Arabidopsis thaliana: one gene and its partner. The protein of the gene in region 2 interacts with the protein of the main gene of each other region in a pairwise test. Each region holds a gene or a part of one and is shown on either strand. Other genes may lie near its edges.

Region 1 (16,578 bases), on a different chromosome or scaffold from region 2:
GTTATATACACACATAAATCTGTTTCGATTTGTTAGCCACTCCAAATCAGTCTGAAACATCCTGATAACTGCAAGTCCGTTATTAAATTTACAAAAACAAACACAAATATTTAAAAATATTACTAAAGTTCGAACTTCGAAACAGAGTAAAGTTACATTAATCTTTATATACATAGATTCTTAGATCTCTGAATTGAAACTCTGATGGAGACTATAATAGTAAATAATTATGACGAAATAAGTCGAGTAAAGATATTATAAGGCTAGCTATGTGACAAATTTTGAAGGAGAGAAAATGACTTTTTTCTGGTATTCGTTCTCGAATAATACCAAATCTTGAAACTAGGAGCGTGTTGGGATTAGATAAATTACTCGTAATTAATAATGTGAAACAATGACCAAAGACTTGGAAACTGAAAAAGGATTATCTATTTAAATTTAAAGGGTACTTTACACTACGAATACTTAAGTAGGATTTGATATCAATGTTGGAAGTAACGAATCCATTATTTTTAACTCAAATAAGTTTTTTCTCGTTAGTATTCAGAACTACATTTTCTCGTTGTATGTGCTCAAGCTACTTCACTTTTGGAGATATAAATATATGTTGAACAATGAAGATTTCGATGTGTATATATAAATAGAAAAATAGAAGTACAGAGAATAAGAAGAACTCATAGATGTATACTTTTTGAACGGTTTTAGGAATCCATACGTACAATTTAGTTGAGTTTACTACTTGTTTCGTATTCTAGAATCTCCAAAATTATATTTTTGGTTAATTCCATACTTTGGGTCTTAATTGGGAAAGTAATTTTGGCCATTTTCTTAAGTGAATAATTCAATTTGGTTAGGGAGAAGACTAAGACGCCCTCATATGGTCTCTTCATTATTCATTTCCAAAAAAGTATCTGCTAATTAAATTTATTAAGCAATACAATACAATCAAATGCATAATGTTTACTTTATACTTTTAATGTTCAAGCATCGGTTGAACGAGTTTAAAATTAAATAAAAGAAGGAAAATAGTTTTTTTTTTAAAATTAATTCCTGAAAAGGAAAACAGCTGTCTTGAAGGACAAAACAATATTATGAAAATGTATTTTTCCTTAATTCGCTTATACATATTGATATATTCGTTTACGTTGTTATTTAAATGATATAACCCATAATAGCACTGACAAATATAGAAACCATTAATTTAAGTATGTTTATTTATAGTAGTATAAAACTTGAGTTACTTAAACTATTGTGTTGCTTTTAAGAGTTTCTGTTAATGATATGATTCTCGCACTAATTAAAGTCAATACCGTACGTACGTAATATGTACTTAACTAAGGTATCTGCAACTTGCGGGGCTTAAGTACTTATGCAGTTGAAGACCCGTTGGTTTTGGGGTTTAATGAGTAATTAAGCTTACTTGATTAAGCAAGAGAACTGGATCAGGGGACAAGTAATCCACAGGACCACATCAATACTTATGTACTTTTAAAGTTGAATAAATATAATTATTGAATGCGTCATATAAGAGCGCGTAAACCGAAATCGATTATTTACTGGCTTAGAAAATAGAGGAGCTCAGTCTTTAAATTCTAAGTTAGAATCTGAATGTGAAATAATATGGTTCTCACAGTGTATTCACGTGCCTAAAATTTAATTAGTAATTGTTGAGGTTGTAGTTGCACATAGATATAACCATTCTATGTTGTGATTCAATATAAGTTGAATTACAAAGATGATGCTAAATGCTTTTTGATATATACTTTTATGGCAAGATAGTATTTTACGTGTTAAAACATGTATATCCTTTCATGGTTTAGGATTTAACAGAATTATTCTTCTAATATTATCAAGCAGTAGAAACAATTGTCATTTTCAATTTTTTCCTGTCTTTTTAACTCTTTTATTTCTCATTTATTCAATTATCTCATAACAAATTATTCCGATTTAAAAGTTTATTTTCTATAACATCTTCTCCGAAAAAAAGATTTAGTAGAAAGCATTGTGAACAACCAATGATTACTGATCAACTAAAATAGCATTATAAGAGAATGTATTAATTAAACAAAATAAATCTGGTGGCAGAAAATAAATCTTGGAAACGAATTATAACGCGCGACATGAAAGAAGAAGCTTCGTTGTACGGAGGTTTCAAAGCACCGACGACGTACGATAGGCGCCGAAAACATAAATTAATGGGAGATTAAATTCCTGAATTGATTTGTTTAATCAGAGAATGGCCAAAACACAGATGAGATTTTGGGTGTGTGTGCGCCACAATGTGTTAAAGACTAAATCTTTCTTACGAATCTTAAAAAAGGTTTAATGAGATCATAATTGAAGAACGTGAGCCAAACCTGTCTTGTTCCACAATTTCACAACTTTCACGGTGGATTGTTAATTAACCACTTAATCAAGTTTGCACTATTTAAAAACTTATTTTACAAAGCATTAATTGTCAATTTCTTCCCTCTTTTCTCAATTATCCGAATACATTATTAATCCAGAGAATATGCAAATGTAATTATATAATTGGGGAATATAAGTTATGATAAGTATAACTGGCGTCTTTGGGTTCAAATGTTATTTTGTAGCTCCATTTACAAGCTTCGAATTCTAGCTCCATTTCCTCTCATTCTACAATCTATACGTAAGGAGTATTATTTTGTAGCTCCATTTACAAACTTCGAATACTAGCTCCATTTCATCTCATTCTACAATCTATACGTAAGGAATATGGAAATTAAACATGTCTTTTATAACTGGAAAGTACGTAAGGAATACGAACTCAGTGCTTTCACAATCTCCACATTGGCCTTATGTCTAACAGGGTGATTCAAACTATTTTTGAGAATTTGTATATATAAAAAGTGAGGTATTCCTGTTATTTAACTTTATACAATTATAAGAACTAATCATGATTGAAATTGCTGTCAAATGATTTGAAGCCTATATCATGCTTTTTTAGGATCAATCACTTGAACATTAAGAGTTGGTAAGAAAGTATGAAACATTAATGAATATAAAGTATATAGCATGGTCAACATTTTCACAAGCATTTCATTTTTTAATAACATTCATTATGTTATTAATACTTATTCTCCCAACGCCGAGGAAGATTTCATTTTAGCAACACTTTTTTCTAAAACCAACGGAAATCACTAGTAATTAGTATTATAGTATAGATTATGGGATGAATTGGTGTTTTAGGGGGAACGTACCTGATCGAATAAAGACAAACCAATGCAATAATTAAAATTCTTAGCATAGATATTAGAGATCTTTCCAGCCTACAACACACGTTTGTTTAGATTTTCCCTCGTGTGCAATATCTTTTTGTTTTGGAGCCTAAATGATTTTCGTAATCTTAATTGATCTCCTCCTGCACGAACTTCTATACCAAACTCGTTTCCGTGTTTGGACTTTTTTTGTTTGTTTGGCAGCGTGTTATTACTTAGGAGAATCTAGTTTTTTAAGAGATTCTACCAAGATATATACGTTAACATAACAACCACATAAATATACATTATTGGTGTATAATCTTTTGCATGATCTCGTGGGTTTCCTTCTATGTACATATTTTAACGTTTCAGAAGATAATATGTGCATGCATTAATTCTTTTGGTTGTAACGCTATTATTAATCATTTATCAACTACTGTCTCACTATACAATTACTCGACCATATAATTTCTATCTATTTTTTTTTATGATTGATATAAAAATACTCTTAAATGATTGAATGACAGTATGTCTGTGATTTTTGTAGATGAGTTCGGACAAACATATATTGGAGTCATGGAGTGGGGGTATGAAGAAGAAAGAAGTCACTCTGAATCTCTGATGTTAAAGACTGAAGATGGGTTTTTGTGGCTTAGAAAGTTGAAAGCTGTCAAAAAAGAAAAATAATGAACTTGTGATACATTCATACATATTGCGACAAGATTAATCTAATTAAAAACGAAAGTAAGTAAGAGTTTTAACAAACAACTCTCAAATTCAAAACTCAGGCGTCAGCAAAATTATCTATTTTAAGCTCTAGAAAGAAAAGAAAAAAAGCTCAATACTATGGGCTCTCTATAAAGCCCATTTGATTGGCCCATTAAAACAATGGCCATGAGTTTTTGCCTAAAATGTCAACAGTTCAAGGGGATTATTTTTTATTTTAATATGAGACATACATTACATATAGTACTAGTAGACTCCAATAATCAACCGAGTCGTCCTATAAAGGGAAGAAAGAAAAGAGAGAAGAAGAGACAAAATGTTGATCCATGTAATTATATTCATGATCATAACGACAATGCAATTCTCGACGACATGCCATGCATATGTGATTAACGTGACCAACGTTAACGTATCAATGTTCCCGGCTATTCTTGTATTCGGGGATTCAACAATCGATACCGGCAACAACAACTACATCAAAACCTACATCCGGGCTAATTTCCCTCCTTACGGCTGCAATTTCCCCGGCCACAACGCTACCGGAAGATTCTCTAACGGTAAACTTATTCCGGACTTCATAGCATCTCTTATGGGAATCAAAGACACCGTTCCTCCTTTCCTAGACCCTCACTTGTCTGATTCCGATATCATCACCGGAGTGTGCTTTGCTTCGGCTGGTTCCGGTTACGACAACCTCACAGATCGAGCAACTTCAACTCTATCCGTTGATAAACAGGCGGATATGCTCAGAAGTTACGTGGAGAGGTTGAGCCAGATCGTCGGGGACGAGAAAGCGGCCTCGATAGTCAGCGAGGCTCTGGTGATTGTAAGCTCCGGAACTAACGATTTCAATCTAAATCTCTACGATACTCCTTCTCGTCGTCAGAAGCTTGGCGTTGATGGCTATCAAAGCTTCATTCTCTCGAATGTACACAACTTCGTTCAAGTAAACAATCCTATTAAACCATACATATGGTTTTTAATTATAGAATTATTTTATTTTATTTTAATTTCTTTTCCATATTTTGGTTTCGACAATGTTAATTTTGTGTTGTTGATGTATATTATTATAGGAACTATATGACATTGGATGCCGTAAAATAATGGTGTTGGGTCTACCGCCGGTCGGGTGTTTACCAATTCAGATGACAATGGCTATGCAAAAGCAGAACGAGAGACGATGCATCGACAAACAAAACTCAGATTCACAAGAGTTTAACCAGAAGCTAAAAAACTCCTTGACGGAGATGCAATCCAACCTCACTGGAAGTGTCATCTTCTACGGCGATATCTACGGAGCATTGTTCGACATGGCCACTAATCCTCAAAGATACGGTAACGTTACGTTTCCTTTACTCCCATGCAAATAACGTTTCGCACTAAATCTAGTTTTCCTTGAGTTTTGATCAATTGCATCTCTTTCTAGATTATATTGTATTTGGAAAAAATATATTTGAGGTTGTTATATTGGATCATTTAAAAAAGATATTGCATAAATGCAAAATAAGAAAAAAGAAATCAATCAAACCCAAAGCATAATCCAATTTTCTCCGCACAATTCTCTCATATTAGTATATATCACATACGTGTGAAGTGCATGTATTTTACAGGATTTTTACTGATAATTTTTTTTACAGGTTTTGAAATTATAGTTTGTTATAAGAGAACATTCAAGACTATAAAATATTTCATTTTATTACAAAGCTAAGTAGTTATCAATGTTATTCCTTTGAATGGGACAGGGTTAAAGGAGACGACGAGAGGATGTTGCGGGACTGGAGAAATAGAGTTAGCGTACTTGTGCAATGCTTTAACTCGGATTTGTCCTAACCCTAACCAGTACCTTTTCTGGGACGATATTCATCCTTCCCAAATTGCTTACATAGTCATCAGTCTCAGTCTTGTTGAACAAATTTTCCACGTACTCTCTTGATTTTCATTTTGCTTTCATATATATTAATTAATCTGTAGTCAATCTATAATTATTTCCCTGTGGGTTCACATAATCTTTCGTATTTGCTTAAGCTAGGTTTTACATGTATACTATTATGATATTATACTACTCTATCCTGGTAAGTTGTAACTCTATAGCACAATGCTCGTAAGTCCGTTTTGAAACCCAAACGAATTATATTTTAACCTTAAGGAAATTTCTTACATCAAAAAAGCAATACATGAACAAATCAATGTCGAAAAGGTGATTCCACCGATCCATGAACATTATTCACCCAAGAAAGATAAAAAAACACAGAATGATTCACAATTTTACAAAAAAATTCAATTAATAAGAATTTTTTAATTTCTTTTCATATCTAATTTAATCAACTTGAGCTTTCCTTGAACAACCGTTTGATTATAAACTCCACATCTTCAACAGTATACGGAATAAACGGCTCTCCACGCCTCCCATTAATCTCCGGTGACTCCTTCAATCTTCTGATGAAATTCGAGTACGCCGGAGATACAATTCCGGCAACAGAGCTTCTTAACTCCTCCCTCAATTGCCCATCACTAACAACCCATTGAGATTGCACCTTACACACCTCATCGAACTGTGATTTGAACAATCTTAGGTTCTCTACTAACTTGGGATACGGACCATCGGTCCTAAGCAATCCCACCACTTGGTTCCATGAGCTCCTTCGGTAATTAGAATGGTATTGCCTCAGTTTCGCTGCGTGCTTCACAATCCAATCTTCTCCTAGGACTAAACCTAGCTCGTTATCCTTAGCCTTATCAAGAATATACTTGTCATTGTTCATCATGAACAAGAAACACAAAGACGGATCACGATAAGTTCTTTTCTTGCCTTCCAAGTTACTCTCCAACAACTCCAAAACCCATATGATTTGCACAGACAACGGTCTCGTATCTGATCCGGTTTCATTTCCTGTCTGGTCAAGTATCTGCTCCAACGATTGCCGCGATTTACACGCCGCACGCAGATAATTCATCACGTACCGCGTGATCGGGTGAATCCCACCGCCAGGAAACGCTGTTTTGGGAGGGTCACGTCGGATTAAATTCTCCAGCTCCATAAATATCCCTCTAATCGCTTCTCCTAACCGTTTATGAATCGCGAGCGCCTCATGCCTTAGCGGCGAACAATATCGATCAGAAAATAGCGTTTCCATCTTAGGAATAAGGTCTTGCATCGCTTCGTATAAATCCACAACCTTAAACAAACGTTCAGGTAAACGGCTTCCTAAAGCGATCGCGTCTGCGAAATTCAGAAGCTGTGTTGTGGTTCCGCGACAAACTTCCATGAAAGAAAGATCGGTTACAGAGGAAACAGGAAGATCAGAGAAAACGCGATCGCAGAGAAGACGCTCGCTCGGGAAGAAAACGTGGAATATCAGCGTTACGGCTTTAATCCAACGGTCGATTTCGTCTTCAAGATCTTGCCATGGACTCTCTTGCACTTCCTCCATACTTAGTCCTCTGAGATGTAACCTCGACAAACTCTCCTCTAGAAACTCTCTTCGTCGACTGCTGTACACTCTTGAACACTCTTTTGCAAATCCACCAGCGACCATGCGCACAGCGATCGCGTTTAGATCGCCAATAACGCTAGATTGTAACGCCTCGATCACGATTTTGTAATCAGTGATTGGACGAGCAACGATTACCTATTCAATTGTGAATCACTTAACCACAATATAACCGATAGTAAACCGAATTTTCTAATTCTAATTCCAAAACTAATTTAGTAATAAATTTACAGATGAATTAATTACCCCGTCGCTTGTGTCGTTGTCTTCTTCGCCGGGGAACTCATCGTCCGAGTCAAACGAGTCAGGGGCTCGGTCCATTACAAATCCAAACTCTTCTTGAAGCCTAAACATCACCTGTTGAATCAGCTCATCGGCACGGGATTGACAGACGGCGACGGATTTATCTCCGGCCATGGATCTCAAGTCTCCGGCAATCGCAAGTAGCTCATCAACAGAGTCGAGGAAGGTGCGCGAGTCAACGGGATCAGACCAGATCGGTCGATCTTCCACGATGTAGCTGGAGATCTGTCTCTCTAAAGAGGTGAGGGCTCGGTCAAAGTTGACGTTTGAGCCGCCGCGGGATGGGGTGGGTCGAGGATCTCCGCCGCGGTTTCCGGAAGCGCCATAACCGGAGAGAATCTGTAAGATATCTCCGGCGGCACTTGGATCCTTGCCGAGAGCTCTGGCGATGTCTCTGGCGGCGGCGTAAAGATTCTCGTCACCGGCTTCAGCCATATGATTGGATGGGAATTAATAATGTTCGGGGAAATTACGGAATTGGTGGAATTGGGAGAATAAAGACGAAAATCCATAGACGAAGACTATAATATTGACAAAGTCTTCGGAGATTAAACGCGGGAACCATGTCTGACTTAGTTGTGTGCTTCTGTTTGTATTTTAATGGAATCTGTAATTTCTTAGTGCCACGACCACGACTTTGTCTTCGTTTCGATTTTTCTCTTTTGGTTCTGTCTGGTTTGATGTTTACAGAACGTGAACGCAATTTAACAACCGCGTTGTGCGTTTGGTCATCATGGAAATTGGTTATGGGCCGATGACTTCGTTACGTTGAATTTTCGGCGTCCAGTACACTTGGGCTTTAGATGGCCCAATGGACATATTATTCATTTTTGGGATCGATAAGTTTGATAAGGTTGAGAGGCCCAATTTTTGTCTTTGTGGTTATCTTTTATTTTATTAAAAACAGAAAAACCAAAAATTGAGAGGAAAAACCTCAGCCAGTAGATAGATAAAAGGGATTTGATTACTGAGCATGCAATTGGAGACAAGTCACACAAATTATAGACCAGACGAACACAAATGTTAAGTGATTTCATCAAAGCTCTGGTGGATCATTGCTTCTCCACCACCAATACCAATGGCTTCCCTTTACCTCAATTCCTTACTTCCACTTCCTCCTTCTCACCCCCAGAAACTTTTAGAACCTTCTTCTTCCTCTTTGTTGAGCACTTCTAATGGTAACGAACTTGCTCTGAAGCCGATTGTCATCAATGGAGATCCACCCACTTTCGTCTCTGCTCCTGCTCGTCGTATCGTTGCAGGTTCGCCACCATTAATCTGAAAAGTTTCAATCTTTTTGATAATTTGACAACAAAATTGAGTAGGTTTTGGTTTTGGATATGCACTCACAGTTGGAGACCTTCATGGCGATCTGGGTAAAGCCAGAGACGCACTTCAGTTGGCTGGCGTCTTGAGCTCCGACGGACGAGACCAGTGGGTCGGCCAAGACACCGTATGTACATTATCTCTTAGTGGTTCAGTATCGTGTTAAATGGTTTGCTTGATGATATTATTGACAGTATCTGCTAGAGTTCAACATTACGCATCTTGAGGTTCATTATGATGACTGATTCTTTTGAGTTAAATGCTTATGAGTTGTGAAATCATAATGAAAATACAGGTACTAGTTCAGGTAGGAGATATACTTGATCGCGGTGATGATGAAATCGCAATACTCTCCTTATTGAGGTCACTTGATGATCAGGCCAAGGCTAATGGTGGAGCTGTTTTCCAGGTTTTTGATTGCTATCATACTTGAATTTCATAAGTAAATTTTACACAGAGAAGCTTTTGCACTCTACACATTTTAATTTGCTAGTTCTAGAATGATGATAATTGATAGGACTAACAAAGAGTAACTTCTTGTCACATTTTAAAGGTTAATGGGAACCACGAGACAATGAATGTTGAAGGGGATTTCAGATATGTAGATGCGAGAGCATTTGATGAGTGTACTGATTTTCTTGACTACTTGGAGGACTATGCACAAGACTGGGACAAAGCGTTTAGGAATTGGATTTTTGAGTCAAGACAATGGAAAGAAGATAGGAGGAGTTCTCAAACCTATTGGGATCAATGGAATGTAGTAAAGGTACTTCATTTTGCCTTGTCCTCTCTGAGTTTTCTTAGTTTTTGTATTCGTTGGTTAACCAAAAGTCGGTGGGAAAACCATTAGGACAGAGGCAAAAGGGAGTAATTGCAAGGTCGGTCCTTCTCAGACCAGGTGGTCGTTTAGCATGTGAATTGTCGCGTCACGGAGTTATTCTCCGTGTTAATAACTGGCTCTTCTGCCACGGTGGTCTCCTTCCTCACCATGGTAAGGACAGTCAAATCTATCTCAACATTTCCTCTCGGTGATCTTTTGGATTTGATATATCATATGCTTATAATGTCCTTGCACAGTTGCATACGGCATAGAGAGGATAAACAGAGAAGTCTCTACTTGGATGAGAAGCCCTACTAACTATGAAGACAGTCCTCAGATGCCGTTCATTGCGACTCGAGGATATGACAGTGTAGTCTGGAGCCGACTTTACTCAAGAGAGACTTCTGAGCTTGAGGACTATCAAATTGAACAGGCAAGTAGAATTTTAATCACCAAAATCTCAAAACTGCTAAGACAGATATCATCATCAGCTTGGTTTAATGTGTTTCCTGACTTCTTTTTCTTATCAGGTAAATAAAATTCTTCACGACACTCTTGAAGCTGTAGGTGCCAAAGCGATGGTGGTCGGGCATACTCCCCAGTTATCAGGGGTTAACTGGTACATTTATCAAACTCAACCCCAAAACTTGTAATAGAGAAACTTCACGACAATCTTGAAACATGAGTTTTTGTTGTTGATAGTGAATATGGTTGCGGCATATGGAGAGTTGATGTAGGAATGTCCAGTGGTGTTCTTGACTCTAGACCAGAGGTATCTAGCAATATTGGTTCTTGACTCGTCGCGTTTCATGTCTTTCTTACATAAGTCCACACAGAGATTCTGAAACTGGAATTGTTTCTTCAGGTTCTGGAGATAAGAGGGGACAAAGCTAGAGTAATAAGGAGCAACCGTGACAGACTTCATGAACTTCAGGTTGCAGATTACATTTAAAAAAAAGAACCAGACTCTCATGTTCAAGATTCAAACTTTATCACCGTATTTGTCATCATACACATAATAAAGCATCAGAAGGTTTCAGTCTTTCAGACAAGGTCCAGATGCAGTTGAGCGAGGCCATACTTTGAACTCTATGTACGTATCTATGTATATATGTGTGTGAATCATCAGATACAACATACTATACTCATCAAGTAAAGGTTTTGTATAGCAAAAACACTGGTTAGTGTTACTTAAAGAGTGGTGAAATTCTCTGGTTTTTATATTGAATGTTTAAAAGAAGTCACATTGAACAACATTGAGAAAGATCTTAAACGAAAACAACTATCGAGATTGGAGAAAGCTTATTGAGAAGTGGTTCTCAATCTTCGAAGCTGATCAATCCAACGATCCTCATTAACATCGGAGGCCCAATCAGGAGCCGTTCCAGGGAATGAGATGGCTCGCATTGCCTCCATAACCCTAACGGCATTCTCCTCCACTAACGGCGATCTTCTCCGCCGTTCGTCCTCCTCAAACGCTCTACGGATCTCCGGTCCAGTCTCCGTCTCTGTCTCTTCTTCGCTGTCTGTGTTATCGTTTATACTAATAGAAGAGATTCCTACCTCTGCATCCGGAATCATACAATGGCCGTTAGAGAGACCATCTCCACCGATCGGAAGATAACTGTCTTCTTCATCGTCGTTGGAGTTATATAAATCGACGGCTGAGATCGGTTCGTAATAGTCTTGTGAATCTTCGACGGAATTAGAGTCGGAATCGCTCCCGGCGTTGTTGTTCTCTGCAAATAATGCATCCGGTTAACGAATTAAGCAGATCTCAATTTCCAAAAATCCGAAGAAACAAATGTGTCTTACGGATCCTCATAAGAATTAAACAGAAGAAAAAGGAGAGTAGAAGAACCTTCCATAGACCCTTCGATGGGATCAATCACCTGGAGACGAGAGATGTCGGAGGTTGAACTGAAAAAGACGATGAAGTTGTTGAACTGAAAAAGACGATGAAGTTGTTACACGGATTGAGACGACTGAGTTGACTCGGATTACCAGATCCATATATATATATATATAAGCCCATATTAAAAGATGCCCACTATATGAGGCCCAAACATGAATCAAAGTCAGGACCTTAGTTGCATCGGCTGGAACTTGAAACAGACACAAATTATCCGAGTGTGAGATATCAAATATACGAATTTGACGGAGTTGCGATATTCCAGAAACATCAAAGCTTTTAAAAAAAAAAAGAGATCGGGAGTGTGGCGTTATCAACTGAGAATTCAGAAGGATGCGAAGGACCCAACCTACGCTAAAGCCAATTTTATCACAGCTTAGATGCACCAGCCGGGAATCAAACGTACTATTCTACCACTAGACCACTGGTGCTTATTGTTTAGTTTTTATATTTGTGTAAAACAAATAGAGGAGAACAAATCAAGATAAACAAAGCTTAATTTAAAAACTCGGTAGTTGTTGTGATATCGATTCGCTGTCCCATCCGTTTGATCTTTATCAGGCCGTTCTGAATCGCCGTTGAGGTCCTGAAAGAAAGATTTGGCCGCCTCGTAAGTGGACCAACATATGGCTGTTGCTGATGCATGGATGAACATTCTGGGGAGGCATAAACCCTTCATATTTCACAAAGGATACGAACACATGGCTCAATGAAACCCTAGTGACATGCTGCACATGACCAGATAAGTTATAAGAAGAAGAAGAAGAAGAAGAAGATCATAGGCTATGTCTGGCCTGGTCGATTAGTTAGTTACACACATCTTAAAATCATTTTGTTTATATTTATGCCTTGATTGTCTACTTTTGTTTTTGCTTTTACATTGTGAGCGTGCGTGTGTGTTTTCCTTAAATAATCCTCCAATGAAATGTTCAGATGTGGGTCAATCACCTTAGAAGGGCCCGTCGGCTGAGAAAGCGTCATAGCTACAATACCAAGCGGCCAAGTCAGAGCAACTGCCAATCCACCGGCGGTGGCTCCTGCGGTGGCATGAACCAACCACCAATTCTTCTTTTTCGGTGATATCTCTATCAGTTTCCTCTTGGCTGCCTCCTATGTCACGAAATGAACAGCAGAAGAATACACATATATCCGAATCCCCGTTCTGTAAAAAGTGAAGAACTTGTTAGTGCACCCCTCTATCAGGACAAACCAGAAGGAGTGCTGATTGCTGGAACAAGCTGGAAGCTGTTTCAGAAGACTAAAGTGAAGATCAAGTAATTGATGCTGACGTGGATATGCCGCCAAATGAACGAATGACGTGGAGATCACAACAGGATGAGTTCAGTTTGGAGAGGAGATATTCATGCGAAGATTTGGAGTGATCCAAGATCTCGAACGCTAACCTAGAAGACCAAAGACCTCGATAGTATAAATAGAGGTGCTAAGGTTCTTGTTAGACGGGGCCGTGATTGTGAGTGAAAAGCTAGTGCAACGCTTTTCATTATTAGAGACTAAGGTTTAGTCTGATTGGAATTCTAGAGAGATCAAAGAGTGTGTTCTTGTGATCTGCTCTTGTGTGTTTAAGGAAATCTCAGGTGACAAGCTAAAGTAGTTTAGATCTTGTGTAAAACCAATTAAGGTAGTTGTAAACTTCTTAATCAGATTTCTAATAAAGTGATACTCAGTGGTTCTGAGTTTGGGGAATACGATTCTTGGTTCATCCGGAATTTCAAAACTTACTGATTCCTTCCTCATGAGTCACCCTTTTGGCGCAATCCCAGACGCCTTTGTAGTTACCGAACCCATTTTGGTGCCTCAGCTTCGCCATATCAACAGGAGTTGAAACGGCATAACTCCATACAGCCGTGAAGGCCCAGGAAATCACGTGCACCACGGGGTTGTTTGGATTCCCGGTAGACAAGAAATTCTTGGATACATCGTAGAAGGAGAAATGTACGAATTGAGCGGGTCCCATGGCTCCATGCCTCATATACCATATCCCACGGTACAGAGCCGATGGTCCTTCCGTTTGGATTACCGAACGCAGAGCCTGCCGGATTCCGACATGTCTTTGCGAATACGAACGATGCAGCATACGTTGATCCAAGGTGCGAACAGGAAACATCGTCATGTTCTTAAAGGAACCAGCAACTGAACCTGCAATCATCAACTGCCACAACTGGAGGTCTTGTTCCTTAAATTTTGGTGCCGTTGAATCTTCCACCGCCATGTTGGGAATGTTTGGAGCATTGAAGCTACGACGATACAAAACCTGAAGATTACCTCGCAAAACTCTAACCAGAGAATCTCGGAGACTAGAATTAAAGGCGCAGATTGGAGACAACTCATGTGGATCGTGCTCTACACTTTCTCTAGTTACTTATTTTTCTCCAACTCATGTGAATTAGTCCATGATGCAAAAGGAGTTGAATGTTCCTCCAAAAGCATTTATTTTTCTCCAAATTGTCTAGTACGTGTAAGATATATGTATGCCTCGTTAAGTTATTATTAGAAATTTGGAAGGAACATAGTTTTGTACAACTCTAATCAAAATTTCTCGACGACATTATCATCAACACAAACCTGGAAAATATATAATCTAAAAATGACTTCATAGAAAACCTGAGAAAACTATGTTACAAACAAATAAGAAAAGCAGGATCCTCAAGAGTGTGAAATAGCCTAACCCTTTTGTCTTTTTTTCAGGCAGTGTTTGAATCGACATTGAAGTCTTGAAAGAAAGATTTAACTCCTTCATAAGTGGACCAACAGATTGCTGCTGCAGGAGCATGGAAGAGCATTCTCGGGAGCCATCCCCTTAGAAGTCCTCTGTATCCATCTTTTTTCACTATCGTTCTAAGTACATGGCTAATAGAACTACTAGTGAAGCGGTCACATCCACACACACCCTGCACATTAACACAGATGATTGAGGCCATATTTTACACATTTTATAGCAAAGAAATCATGGACATTGCTCTTAAACTTTATGCTAGGTCAATAAGAGTTTTGCAAAAGATGTCTAAGCTCTATCAAGAAACACTAATATTCCAGATGCACAACTACAAATAGTCAAAAACATTTAAGCGGAGGATATACAAGTAAAAACATTTAAGCGGAGGATATACAAGTACTATGCACTAGAAAGCCTTAACATATCTCGAAATGCTAAAGATTCTACAGCTAGACCTGAAATTATTTGACCCCTCCCCATCTTTCACACCTCATAAGATCACATTTGAAACGAAACAAATTAAAAACTTTTCCTACATTCAATAAATGCTACACTAAGACAGAATTAATGATAGCTCAACCACGAAATGTCATTACCTGAAACCCTTAAACACACTCTACCTCAAACTTACTGGTAAAAACATTGAAACCAAATAACCACTCTTCCTACAACGGTAGCTCTATACTAGTGTCAAACCGTGATGAACATAAAACCGCAACCACAAAATTATGCTGCAGCTCTAGCACATGATTACCATCTGCCAGTAGTCCTGATAGCTCTTTTTACACAAACCACTATTCACAAAATACAACATCTAACCACACAAGGTGAAACAAGTCCATCTAAGAAGCTTTAGACCTTCACATAGACTCGAAATCCAACACAAATGCATCAACTCTCGAGACTAAAAGCATCATTTAAAGAAGCATTCTGCAGCACTACGCACACATAAAAGCATAACACATATACCGTTTACTAGTAACACTAACACCACTGTGTACCTAATCACATCGCCAACATTATTCTAGCCAAAGATGTAGAGATTAGAGACAAAGAGCAACCAATCCTAGAGAGAAGGAATCATTCACCTGACATTGCAACTGCGTCTTGACAACATCAAGCGGCGTAGTCACAGCAGCTGCCAATCCACCAGCAGCAGCTCCAGCGGTAGCGTGAACCAACCAACCTTCCTCATCACTAATTCTATCCGGCGAAAACTCCATCAATCCCTTCTTAGCAGCCTCGTAAGTGGCAAAGTGAACAGCCGTAAACGGCGCGTTCATCAGAACCGTCGTCCTATAAGAAGCATAAAACGCACCAATCCCTTCCTCACGCAAAACCCTCTTAACACAATCCCAGACTCCTTTATAAGTCCCTTCACCCATCTGCAACCTCTGCTTCACCATATCCATGGGAGTGAAAACAGCATCGCTTGATATAGTAGCGAATACGCCGGACATCGCATGCGCGACGGAATTGTTCTGATCCCCGGCGGATAAATACTTCTTCGATACTTCATAGAATGAGAAGTAAACGGCGTGAGCAGGTCCAGCGCCGAGACCCATAGCCCAGATCCCGCGATACAGAGCTGAAGGTCCTTCCTTTTGGATAATCGAACGGAAAGCTTCCCGGATTCCGACGGGTTTTAAGGGACATGGTCGAAGCGCTTGCATATGGGTCTTGATGGTATCGACGGGAAACATCGCCATGTGTTCGACGGAGCCAGCAATCGAACCAGCAATCATAAATTGCCAGAACTTAAGACCATCGTGAGCGATTTCCGGTTTGAAATCCGGTGTCTGAGAAACCTGCCGGAGATCAGGTTCCTGGAATTTGGGTACGGTTGTAGCCTCCGTAGCCATTTAGGGATTGGGGCGTAGATCGGGAGGCACTTGGTACTCGGCGGCGGAGACAAAATCTCGAGTAAAAGTAGGGTTTTTGAGGACTTGTTAAGAGTAAAAAAGACACCAAATCGGAATGTGAATCACCGACGAAGAGAGACGGTGAAGGGGGAATTTGGTGTGGTGGTGGACTACATTATCTCA
Region 2 (5,335 bases):
AATGATCTTAACTTGCGGCATCTTCACCAATTGGATTCCCTTACTCACTGGACCGGTTCTAAAAGAGCACAGTTTCCACGAAATTAGGGTTTATGCCACACAGCGATCAGCTCGAAGCAAACCTAGTTAACTAAAGCATCTCCTCAAAAAAAACAAATCCAAAACAGTTCTAAACAAGAACTCCAGAAAACAAATAAGGAAGGATTTAAAGTTTCGGGTTCGAGTTTGAGAACAATACAGAATTGAATTTAAAGTTTAGGTTCTCTCTTTTCTCGATGAGCTCTTCTACAATTGATCCCGATTATTTACTACCCAGAATCAAAGAAAACTGACGAAATCGATCGAAGAGGATGGCCAAGATAAATTAAGTTTTAATGGGCCTTGTGAATACTACTAATGGGCCTATCTATATAACAAAAATCGCGCCAATTTGTTTTCATGAAAATGGTTGATTAGGGAGAGATATATGCTTGACTGACCAAAATGTAAACAAAAAAAGCTTACGAAACGTTTGATCATCATCTGATAAATTGATTAGTACTGATTTATTCCATCAAAATCAAACTCATACAAACCATTACAATCTTCTTAGTGAGACACAATACATAAATTATATATGAATCTACTACGATTATTTATATTATCATCATTAATTATATTGTCCTAGAGGGCATTATTTAAATATATTAGCCATTGCATACAGAAACCATAATAAATACTATATGATAAAAACACACTGATGAAAAGTGAATCAATTAAGTAAGTAGAATGTTGGAGTCGTAGGTGGCTCCGGCAGTCCAATCAGCGGGAATAGCGTTTGGCGATTGGATCCAATTGATTCCTGCGCTTCCGTAGACTAAGAACCTCAATGTGAGAGTGCCTCTAGGTGGATTCTGCAAATCATGAACCGCTCCAAACACTCTTCTCATACGTCTCCACTCTTTGCAATCCTCCTAAAATCATACATATACATGCATACCATATAATAACGTTTAACTTTGTTTCACAAAATCATCTAAGAGTAAACTATATATTTTGATCCTCAAAAACATATATCTAAGTTTCTCAACATCTTTGATTAAATTTACCTGCCAGACTTCAACGGCGAGGATGTCATTAACACCACCAACGTACAAGACAAGGATGGCAAGATAATGAGGATTGTAGCTTTTCTCATGGATCTTATACACCAGATTATACCCTGCGTATCGGCAAGGGATCCTTTGGTACTCAACGTTGACTACACCGAAGGAGTAGAGCTGATTTTCTGTGCCGGGTCGCGCCATACGTCCGTACGCCTTAGGGCTTAAGATGAAGTCCGTGCCATCTCCTTCTCCGGAGTCCGTAGCCACTACGTATACTCCTTCCTCACTGCAGTGTGGTGGTATCTTGCACCTCACCTTTTTATAATTCATAAAATAAGTTTTTTTTTCTTTCATAATATAAGTTTAGTAATTAATGACATAGCATATACTATAATAATATTTGATGAAATATTGATTGAGATAAGTAGATAACTATATATAATAACCTGGTAACAAGCACCACAGCCAGTTCCATTGTTCCATAGTCGCCATGAAACACCACTCACTTCACCGTTATTGATATCTCTTCCAAATTCTCCATACCCACAATGTCCCCCTGCATCATCAAAAAATTAATTAATTATTCTTATTCTTTCGACAAATATTATGTATATTCTCATAATGGAAAGTTATCATTACTAATTACGCAGTTAATGGACACTTAGTGGACTCGTTTTCAATCATATATGTATTTAGAATTTGAATAAACCTTCAAAATAAAACAAAACAAGAAACCTATACGTAGATATAAAACAAAAATAATTAGTTATGGCTTATAGTGAGATATTACACCAATGTATCTTTTACCAATATATAACGTGTACAAGTCTATACAACAACTAAGAAAATGAAAAAGAATTAAGGTACACGATGTATATAGCAATAACAATTTTAATACGTACGAGGATTTGCTTTGCAATCGGGGCTGCCATAATAAGTAGCTCTAGAGTTAACAAAATCGTCGGATAGACAAAGGAGAGGCAAAAGGACAATGACTTGAACAAATAGAAGAAGCAAAACGTGAGAATGCTTCATATTGTTGTTATCTTATCTATAAATATTGTAAGATTATTAATACTTCTAACTCTTTTTCTTAACAAATGATAGGAATTGATAATAGAATTTCTTATCACAAAAGATAGTGAAGATAGATGAGAGACTTAGTAGGGTATTTATAGCTGCAGCTAGAGTGCTTATTACAATTATACAATTGATCGAGCATCGTCACTATTTTTTACTTTCCACTTGGCAAAAAGCTTAAAGCTAACTCAATTTTTTTATATAGTTTAACTTGGTATTAAATTAAATGTTTACATCATACATCTGCCAATATAGCATTAGGGTTGGCATAAACCCAGTAGATTCAAAAGTCGATTCTTATTATACGCAATTTATTCTTTGATTTTTGTAGTCTAGATTAGTTAAGGAGAGTATTAGATATCGAATTATCAATATAGTAGTATTTTAGAAGATTAAGTATGTGAACATTGTAAAGCTCAGAAGATTGAGGTAACATAGTTCCAATAGATGCATAATCTCCATTTCCGTATAACACATACCGAAATTCAAACTAGTTTCAAGTGAAAAGATAAAAGATGCATTTAACACTGAAAATCAATTCCTAATACTCTAGTTTCTTATAGGAGTATACACTCTTTCTTTCTGTTATCAGCTCTCTATGTGGCATTCAATTGTAAAACATGTTTTGGATGAATACAATTTTACATTCCTACAAAAAAAGATTATAGCGCTATGGCTTTATTTTTGGTTGATGCTATATCGCTACTAACCCTTTGTAGACATCCTGTATTGATTATATATTTTGAAACTACTGTAGATATTTGTATAAAATATCCAAAATATGTAATGCAATAGACAATGGTGGGGTTTATAGCTTTTGGGACTATTATTTATTTGAAAAAGGATAGGTTGTGCCTCCAAAACGAGAAGTTCATGACACCTAATAGTAAATAGATTGGTTTACGATAGTTGTTTGGTGAATTGGATGAATGAACTCATAGAATATGCCAAGCGTGCTATTTTTTGGAATCACTAAGCCTTTATTGTTTTTCACTACTAGCATTTTAGTAATATTAAGATTGTGTAAAATAGCATAACGACATGGGTTTGCAAGTTGTAACCAATATATGGACAGAAAACATGGTTTTGGTCTTTTTCTTTTTTGAGTAAATATCATATAAAATGAAAATAGTTTGGATTAACATTTTGTTTTCCTAGATTTTTGGTTCCTTGGAAAAAAACAAAATAAAAAAACAAGTTTTGGTCATTTTTTCGAGAGAGATTCTTCAATAGCATGTTGTTCAAGTTTGGATCCGGTATCTACATTTAAGGATCTTTGTGTTTGATAAGCCAGTTGTATTACCAATGAATTCTGTTTCCAACGTGAAACAAAAACGTGTTTCTCTATAAAAAGCGTGAAAGAAAAAACATCTTAAAAAATACACATTAGTTGCTATATATTAGTACTAACCTATGCATAGATATAATATGGCAAACTAGAATAGAACTTTACTTTCTATAATTCATAAATTGAGTTAAGTATTCCATGCAATATAAATTATTTCGATGTTCAAACTAAGATAAACACTAAAACACACCACGTAAGCAACCGTTGATCTTGAATGTGTATATCTTAATTTTAGTGATGTCAATAAGAGTAACACAATGGGTGGTAGGATATTATCAGCAGCCTACCTTTTGTATTTGAATAAAATAAATTTCTTATTAATATGTAACTGAGAGTCTGAGATTAGGAGAAGAGAAAGACAAAAGGATACCATAAGTCTAGTATATATGAATAGAAATAGAGAATTCATTAGACCTTTTTGTTGTTGGTTTGGTTGTAATCCACTTGATGAAATTTCTAGTTCCCTACCTCCCTAGAAAAAAGATATATTCCATTTGTGAGAGTATATAATATTCTTTTGAATGGGATTCAATTGAAATTGATGTTTGTATACAACTCATTATCGCTACCACAAATACATTTTCAACAAAGTTTCTTTTACCAAAATTCAAATTAATATCATGAGATATATCAATTTGAAAGATAAAAAGTAATCTTTTCAATTATTCGACTCTCTCAATTTAAACTTTTTAAGCACTTACCATGAATCAGTATTTGATTCAATATTTTGGGTGTCGGGTTACAGAAATTGTATACCCTTGGTTTAGATCAGCCTAAGTTTGAAATGCAGAGAACATATTTTCTTGTCAACGTTTCGCTATGATATAAATGCACACCCTAACTCTAAATCATGGTTGGCTAGTTCTTACTCCAGTGGAAGAACTCGTATTCGCCGGCACGTAAGGAACCGATGACGTCACTATAACAGTTGACATGTAGAGTCCAACAAAACATTGCGTGTTTAATGACAAGTGTGGACTTTTCATAGGAAAAAGGAATATCACAGGATAATGGGGTTGGTGCAATTTATCGTTATGTCATCGCTCATTGATTCTCCATCTAATTCCATAAACGGTACCACGTTCTTGCTTCATGTGAACACAAACATATTGGTTTGTAACACACACACACAGCAGCATATGAAATTGATTCATCTTAGAAACATATATTGAAGATACACCAATCCTGTTTCTAGGCATTCACAAGCCTACACATATGGGTTTGTTTCTGTTCAAATAACCCTACAATTGCAGCATTACTAGTAACCTTTTTTAACATGTTTTCCAGACTTTACCTCAGTTCTGTGCCGGTGAATGGTTCACTGATTCCCCATTTGATCAGCGGTAAGATCTCCAACCTTAGAAACACAGTAAAATGATAATGTCATAACAGAGTAAATTTTAAACAGGAAGCTAATAGAAATATAAGTCATAACATAATGATAATGTCGTAGCAAAGTAAAACTCTAAAAAGGAGAAGCCAATAGAATAAGAAGTAGTATATCATTGCTATTAATCACCAAGACCTATCAATGGTAGGAGTTAATAGGCAAACAATCAAAGAATACAAAGGTTTGAGATTTAATCATTTGTTTAAGACAACGAATGATATGAGTTCTAGTGTCTGAAGGAGCATAATCCCTTTATAGGTGTCTGCCATCAATAGTGAAGTTTCTTGTAATGGGCAATGAAAATGATATCACTAAAAAATGGGTCCTAAGAGAGCAACAGAGGAAAATGGGAAGTAACTATTTGAACTAAAGGGGATGCAAAACCAGAAGATACCAGTCCACTATAAGCACTTACATTACAAAATATATGTC

What was found.
Region 1: the proteins of EXLB1 (region 2) and SLP1 interact in a two-hybrid assay, tested with the Arabidopsis thaliana proteins (one large-scale study listed by BioGRID).

Annotation. Positions count from the first base shown.
Region 1 is NC_003070.9:2,144,130-2,160,707, forward strand, and holds SLP1 (Calcineurin-like metallo-phosphoesterase superfamily protein), read left to right. Parts: upstream 1-8,750; 5' UTR 8,751-8,819; coding exon 8,820-9,003; intron 9,004-9,066; coding exon 9,067-9,179; coding exon of another isoform or gene 9,180-9,194; intron 9,195-9,261; coding exon 9,262-9,294; intron 9,295-9,362; coding exon of another isoform or gene 9,363-9,374; coding exon 9,375-9,476; intron 9,477-9,620; coding exon 9,621-9,833; intron 9,834-9,922; coding exon 9,923-10,058; intron 10,059-10,144; coding exon 10,145-10,320; intron 10,321-10,417; coding exon 10,418-10,506; intron 10,507-10,589; coding exon 10,590-10,659; intron 10,660-10,752; coding exon 10,753-10,839; 3' UTR 10,840-11,109; downstream 11,110-16,578. Other genes in the region: AT1G06990 (GDSL-like Lipase/Acylhydrolase superfamily protein), read left to right, coding at 4,264-4,893, 5,021-5,282, 5,690-5,880; EXO70B2 (exocyst subunit exo70 family protein B2), read right to left, coding at 6,269-7,576, 7,685-8,176; AT1G07020 (uncharacterized protein), read right to left, coding at 11,190-11,626, 11,749-11,755; AT1G07025 (Mitochondrial substrate carrier family protein), read right to left, coding at 13,529-14,029; AT1G07030 (Mitochondrial substrate carrier family protein), read right to left, coding at 14,502-14,708, 15,622-16,395. UniProt on the Arabidopsis thaliana protein: Shows phosphatase activity, hydrolyzing the artificial substrate para-nitrophenylphosphate (pNPP) in vitro.
Region 2 is NC_003075.7:9,581,062-9,586,396, forward strand, and holds EXLB1 (expansin-like B1), read right to left. Parts: upstream 2,230-5,335; 5' UTR 2,121-2,229; coding exon 1,988-2,120; intron 1,642-1,987; coding exon 1,532-1,641; intron 1,401-1,531; coding exon 1,089-1,400; intron 954-1,088; coding exon 756-953; 3' UTR 501-755; downstream 1-500. Other genes in the region: AT4G17020 (transcription factor-like protein), read right to left, coding at 1-21.